2 linked regions of the Rattus norvegicus genome follow. The protein of the gene in region 2 interacts with the protein of the main gene of each other region in a biochemical or structural test. Links are inferred from orthologs where the notes say so. Each region holds a gene or a part of one and is shown on either strand. Other genes may lie near its edges.

Region 1 (3,816 bases), on a different chromosome or scaffold from region 2:
GAGACCATGAGCAGACTTTATTGGCAGACAAGGAAGAGAGGACAGCATCCTGCAGCACACAGTGGGGTCACCACGGCATCTCCACCTTAGGCGCTGGGTGCGTACTGCAGTGCCAGGCGATCGAAATCGTTCTCCTACAGTGGGAGATGGGACACAGCATGAGACACACAGCCTTCTCCCTCCCCATCCCGAGGACAACCGCTCTGCGCACCTTGGCCTGGTACTCCTTGATGAAGGGGTGGGTCCTGTGTGCATCCTTCAGCTGTGACAAGTATCGGTTTGTCACCTGAGGAGAGTGGGGTGGAATTAGTCGGGCAGATATGGGGATCCAAAAGCCATGCTACCATGCAGGATGGGGTGGGAGCATGGGAGGGACCCTGACTCCCACCCCCAACGGAGAGCCAGGACAGGCTTAAGGGATCGGGAAGCACATCCACAGCTAGCCTCAGAGGTGCAGCAGAGGCTCCAGGGAGGGAGTGGCCAGGGCAGGTGATTGGCTGATGAAGCTTTTTGAGCTGTCATGTCCTAGGTTCTAAGACAGTTTTCAACTTCCTAAAGCTGTGGCCCTTTAATTCAGTTACTCATGTTGTGCTGACCCCCAACCATAAAATTTTCTTTGCTACTTCAGAAGTGTAATTTTGCTACTGTTATCAACTGTGAGGTAAAGATCTGCTATGCGGGTATGTGAAGGGCTCATTTAACATTCAGCTTGAGAGCCACTGTTCTAGGACCTAAAAGCCAGGCAGCTCCAGCCCAGCCCTGTGTACACAACACTGAGGACGCTGTCTGTCCTCAACTGGGACAGCAACAGATGCTGGCTCAGGGCTCAGCAAGCTGCACCCTGGTTACCTATGCAGAAAGCTGCACCAACTTCCTCTTCCCCCAGGTCTCCACTGGCCTCTACCTGTCCTGTTTCTGTCCTCACCACCATCCTGAAGGGGCTGAGGCCTAAGTCACACTCCAGCCTACCTCAGGGGGCTTGCCCAGGTGCTGTGACAGTACAATGAGGTTGATGAGGGTCTCAGGGTGGCCACTGTCCTGGAAAAAGATGGAGAACAGGCAGTCAACAAAACCCAGGCCCTGAACCCTCAGACCAACATCTGACTGAGGCCAGAAAGAGCCTGTCTAAGTTACCACAGGGAAGGCAGGTGGCACCAGGCTGTCCCAGAGTTTTCGTCATTCACTCTGTAAGGCAGAGGGACCATGGCCTTGTGCTTCCTGCTCAGCGTGGCTTGGGTCTGTCCTCCTAGCTTTGGGGGGCACCAAGTTTCCTTGCTCCACATTAAACTGCTGGATAATTGTGAAGTCACCCATACCCCTATGCCAAAAATTACATCGCCAGTCTTTCTCCATTGAGGCAGGGATGGCAGTGGGTCTACATTAGGTAAAGGTTGGGGACAAGCAGAAGGGAAACAACTAGTTGTCATCCTGGAGACCCCCACAGCAGGCAGCTGAGGAGGCAGTGATCTGGAGAGCGCACATGCTCACTAATCAGGTCACCTGGTTCCCATGGCCAGCTGTGCTGCCCATGCCGGCCAGCAGTGCTGCCCATGCTGGCCAGCATGTGCCACACCCACCTTGTCCAGTGCCTCTTGAAGCACGCCCTCCGCGGTCTCCCAGCGGCCCTGTGCCGAGTGGCAGGCTGCCTGGCCATTGAGCAGCAGCAGTGTGGGCGAGCACTTGTCTGCCAGCTCCTGGAATATGTAGTAGGCTTCCTGCAGCTTCTCACCACCCTGTGGGGACACCTAGGTCAACTGCTGGTCACCTGCTGGCCCGACCCTCCATGATGCACCCCAGGGAGTCACTCTCTAGACCAGCTCAGGTCCCGCCTCCCTTCCAGCAGAGGACCCTGAGTGGAGGGATGAAGACACAGAGGCCGCCTGTCCCTCCTACACTGCCCGCTCTAACCACTGTTAAGATGCTATAGAAAAGGGGTTTCCAGGGAAGTGGTGTGTGTTGGGACCACAGGGACACTGAGTCTCTAAGCGGTAGAAGGCAGTGAGGCCTGTTAGGGCAGGCCTGCAACTCCGGCTCCTCTGAGGGCTGAGGCAGGACAGCAGTTCCCATCACCCTACAGGACAAACACCAAGGCTCCACCCCTCTGCACATGTTGTCCCATACTAGTAAACTACACACAGTAAACTCAAAGCCACTACGTGGAACCTTGTGAAGTTCTGTCTAAGGTAAAAATTAACACTCTTTTTGGCTTTTTGCAACAGGGCTTCTCTGTAGAGTTCTGGCTGTCCTGGAACTCATTCTGTGGACCAGGCTAGTTTTTTACTCACAGAGATCCACCAGCCTCTGTCTCCTGGGAGCTGGGACTGAAGGTGTGCACTCCTACCATCTGGCTCAAAAATTTTAAATTTTAAAAAAGGTCAGGGAGCTGAAGATGGGTAAGCAGCTACTCTTTAAATGGACCCATTGCTGGCATCCACTGGGCACACCACAGCCACCTGTAACTCCAGCTGTGAGGGGCTGACACCCCCTTCTGGCCTCTTCAGGTACTGCATGCATATGCAAAAATCAATCTTGTAAGAGGGGCAGGGCATGGGGTGCCTGCCTGTATCTCAGTACTAGGGTGATGGATGTAGGAAGATCAGAAATTCTACAACAGCCTCAGTCACATGGCCAATCCGATGACCCCTGGGCTATGTGACACTTGCTTTTAAAACAGAACAAAATCCTTCAAAGCTAAATTTAAATAAAAATAAGCAAACTATGGCCGGGATGTAGTTTACTGTGTAGCACTTGCCAGACACGAGTAAGACCTTGGGTTCCATGCCAGTCCCATAAGGAAAGAAAAAACCCAAAAACCCAAACTGAAACTAAGTAAGTACCCCTCCAGAAAACCTGGGGCCATTCCCACCCAAGAGGAGAAGCACTTGAGGGGCCACTGGGCTCTCCTGTAAAGGCCTGTGGGCAGAAGAGCTCAGAGAGGGGGCCAAGCCCAGAAACCAGAATGGGGCAGGTGGCAGGAGGCAGGCAGTGTGAGCTAAGGATGCCCGGCTGTCACCAGCCCACGAAAGGAGCCCTGAGAGCAGGGCAGAACCACTCCAAGTCTGGGGGACACTGAGAGCTGGCCAGCTGCCTGGCTGGACTCTCTCTCCAGGAGCCTCGTCAGTGTCTGCAGGGCTCTGCCATCATGTGCAGGTGAGGTTTGGTTAAACAGAGGGTGCAGCCACAGGAGTGACACTTCTTAGTCCCTGCCTTCCCACTTCCCGATTCCTGGGGAGCTTACCATGGCCAGGTTAACCCAGGCAGTGGCCAGCTGGGTGAGGGTGGCGTCCTCATCTTGCTCCTGCATCCGCTTCAGCTCCTTCCTGGGACATTAGAGGTCGGGCACTGAGTGGCCTGGGGGCCCCAGAACCTAGGGATGGACCCTGGCACACTCTCCTACTAGTCTGTGTGCAGCTGATATGGAGAAGACATGGCTGGCCCTCCTGTTGCCCCGAATGGTACAGATGCAGAGAGATGCTACCCAGGACAGAGCTCAGCTGTGTGGTACCATCTAGGGTAAGCTCCAGGCCTGCCACAGCCTAGGGAGCTGCTACTCCGTCTCCAACAATCCCCACCCATCCCCCAAAGAACGGAGATAGGACTTGGCTTCCCACATGTCCTGCGCAGAGCCTCCCATCACCCTATAGGACAGTGTTTGCCCACAGCATGACAGAGGGAAGCAGAGCCCTACACCCTTGTTCCCAGCAAAGGATCCAGGAAGAGGCTAGGAGAGGGGTGTGTGTCACTTGTATGGGGCACAAGAAATAAGAGGCCTCGGGGAAGCTGAGGCTGACGTCTGGGTTGGTCTTGGCTGTGGCT
Region 2 (3,205 bases):
TATTAAAAGGAGGTAGACTTCTCCCTTCTCTCCAGTCTCAGCAGTCCCAGGCCAGCCAGGTCTACACATTAAGCTCCACACCAGCCAAGTGAGGCTCTGTCTCACAAAGAAAGAAAACTGGCTGAGGACTGCAGGAAGGCGTGCAGTCAGTGCCCTCTGCTCCTGCCTGAGGTAGAATGTGACCAGCTGCTTCAGGTTCTACCACCTTCCCTTCCCTGCAATGATGGACCTGCCACTTCGAGTCAAATGATCCCCATCTCCGTAAGGTGCTTTTGTCAGCGTCTTTTATCACCGCAGAAGCTAAGACAACTCTGTACTTACAGTAAATATGTAATTTATTATATACTCATTCTCTTCTATGTGCATATAATAAGTAAAACACGCAGAGCCGTGATGGGCATTAATAGGGGCTCAGCAAATACTGGCTGTAGTTAGAAACGAACAGAAAGTTGCAGTAAACGTGGACTCTTTTTACCAGTCCCCAACAATGTAGACGTTTCACATGTCTCCAAGAAAAACATTACCATTTTCCCCTTGTTGTGAGTATTAATTTAAAATGTATATAATGTATATAATGGTTAAAAAGTGTTCCTGAGGCAAAGAATCTGCTCTGGTGAGATAGATACATCGACATGAGCAGGGTCGTGAAAGTGAGTGTGCAAGAAGTAAATGGCAGCCAGGAGACTCTCAGAAATTTACTTTATTTGGTGAGCAACAGGATATAAGAACAATGGTAAGTTATAAAGGACAGGAACAAATCAGTGAAAACTGGTACAGATTTTGCAAAACTAAATGACTTCTTCTCAGCCTGCAAGTGTGTGGGCCCACATAAAGAAGGAACTTATTTATGACATTAAATGCACAAGAAAAATATGGGATAGTTAACAGTTCGTTTGGCTGAGGAAAAATGTCATTTCTTGCATCCTGCTGCTTGCTAGTGGAATTGGACCAAAGGCGGTAGTTAAGGAAGGAATAAATACTAAAGAATTTGCTAAACAAATGGCCAGCACAGAGTTTTCATTTGTTCCTTGGAAGGCCCAAGCTGAAACGCAAAGTCATCTATGATCACAAGCACAGTAAACTTCAGGAGAGGTCTGCAGGAGCAAGAAAATCAAGCTTGAAACTTCTGATTTGCCAACGAAGAGAAAGAACATGACGTTTTCAGGGAGAACCAACCTCAACAAGTCGAATCGTGGCTGTAGGGGAGAGTGAGGGTTTGCAGCTAGAGACTTTAAAGAACAGTGTGTGATTAACCATGCACGTGAAGGGAGAACCTTAGCGAAACTGAAGAGGACTGATCCTCAGACCAATCACATCTTTGCCAATCTCTGTCACCTGTGAAGTGAAAAACAGCATCAGGTTAGAGAACCCCAGAGAGCTTATTCCCTATACCCGCCGACGAGCAGGCAGAAGGATGCTTGGTGCTGAGAAGTGAGCAGTGAAGGAAGCACTAGCTTTGCAGTGTCACTGCCTGAGGGAGCCGCAGCAAATGCAGGGAGAGAGCCAGCACCAAGCTTCCTTTGCCCCTTCCCTCAATATCCCACACACTTTCTTTCTTTTGTTGGATCCCCACCCCAACCCTGATAGACACACTCTTGAGGACAGTACTTACTGTAGTGACCCTGCAGATCTGCCCTTTGAACTCAGGGGAATAGCAGGCCCCACTGAGTGGACACTTCTCCACTGGTTTTCCACGGTAGATGGGCCGGTAAGATGCAGCACAAATGTCAAAGGGGTTGTGCATGTCATAATTGAGCTGGCAGGCATCTGTGGGGTTTTTCTCACAGGCAGACAAGATTTTCCTTGTCTAAAGGAAGGAAGGAAGGAATATTTACGAGTACAGAAAGCATCATGATCTCCGATGCGATTATACGTTAGGCATGGTGGTTTATTTCTATAATCCCAGCACATAGGAACAGGGGGATCCCAAGTTCTAGGACAGCCTGAGTTATATACCCAGTCTCAAGAAACAGAACACGACAACTAAAGTAACTACGCCATGAGAATACAGGGCCCATCCTCTGTCTAGGATGTATGTGAAAAAATGACAATTGCCACTGTGCTGGTTGTACCAGTACATCCCAGAGCCCAGAAGGCAGTAGGAGGTCAGGAGTTTGGGATACACAGTGAAATCTTTCTCTTTCTCCAACATGGCTCCATGCTCTAAAGCCATAATCCTGTTTACTTCTGGGATTAGATTATCAGGATTGGGCCCCATAAAGAGCTGAAACAGGTTTCTAGTGCCCAAGGAGAATGTTTTTAGGTGGCATGGATCCTGGACTATGAATGAAAGTATAAGAGGTAAAGAGGGGTCACCTGGAGCTGAAGAACAGCTGAATTATCTGCAGGTGCCCGGAGTTTAAGGCTAGGAGCTCACCTGCAGGCCCACTGGGGCTATTCTAGGTTGCAAGGCCACAAGAGAAGGGCTGGTAAGCCCAGCACAAATGTCAAATTGAAATTAAGTCAAAATTAACACAGCACTTGGGAGGCAGAGGCAGGCAAATTTCTGTGAGTTCTAGGACAGCCAGGGATACAGAAAAAAAACTGAAATCAAACTTGGGCAAGGTTTTTACTTCTCACTACTAAAATTTAGTCAAGTCAACTACAGGATCTACTCCATTTAAACATCTATATAGAGTATTTTAGAATGCCATGCACCCAATGCCATATCTGAATAAATTATCACTCCGGTTTCAAGGGGGAAAAGATGCCCCAAGGTAAGTAACCAGAAGGCAGCATTCTATTGGCTTTCTTGGGTGGAGTGCTGTTCTATTGTTTCAGAGAGAAGGATATTGGCTTCTGCTCCTCAATTTTTTTTTTTTTTTTTTTTTTTGGTTCTTTTTTTCGGAGCTGGGGACCGAACCCAGGGCCTTGCGCTTCCTAGGTAAGCGCTCTACCACTGAGCTAAATCCCCAGCCCCTGCTCCTCAATTTAAGATCTGGTTCCCCCAAAGGCACTGATGGAATTCCCCTGTACCTGTTGGGCTACTTCAGGTTTGGGCCCAAGTTCCAGCAGGCGTCGGGCAAAGGTGGCAGCTGTCTTGAAGTTCTTGAGCTTGAAGAAGAGGTTGAGGGCTGTCCTCAGCACCAGGATCATGTGCACAGGCTGCAGGTTTGAGTGTGTGAAATAAGCCGCCATCTAGTGAACAGAAAGGAGCACCGAACAAAGTGAGGTTCAGCTGTGGTTTATAAACAGCTACACAATT

Evidence for each region.
Region 1: the proteins of Copa (region 2) and Cope form a complex in vitro, tested with the Homo sapiens proteins (3 studies listed by BioGRID, with this or other methods). The link is inferred for Rattus norvegicus from reciprocal best matches to the Homo sapiens genes COPA and COPE.

The regions. Positions count from the first base shown.
Region 1 is NC_086034.1:19,148,830-19,152,645, forward strand, and holds the end of Cope (coatomer subunit epsilon), read right to left. Parts: intron 3,321-3,816; coding exon 3,239-3,320; intron 1,734-3,238; coding exon 1,578-1,733; intron 1,039-1,577; coding exon 970-1,038; intron 287-969; coding exon 212-286; coding exon of another isoform or gene 135-211; coding exon 87-134; coding exon of another isoform or gene 68-86; 3' UTR 3-67; downstream 1-2. UniProt on the Homo sapiens protein: The coatomer is a cytosolic protein complex that binds to dilysine motifs and reversibly associates with Golgi non-clathrin-coated vesicles, which further mediate biosynthetic protein transport from the ER, via the Golgi up to the trans Golgi network.
Region 2 is NC_086031.1:87,116,734-87,119,938, reverse strand, and holds the end of Copa (coatomer subunit alpha), read right to left. Parts: intron 3,139-3,205; coding exon 2,977-3,138; intron 1,808-2,976; coding exon 1,613-1,807; intron 1,336-1,612; coding exon 1,276-1,335; 3' UTR 683-1,275; downstream 1-682. UniProt on the Homo sapiens protein: The coatomer is a cytosolic protein complex that binds to dilysine motifs and reversibly associates with Golgi non-clathrin-coated vesicles, which further mediate biosynthetic protein transport from the ER, via the Golgi up to the trans Golgi network.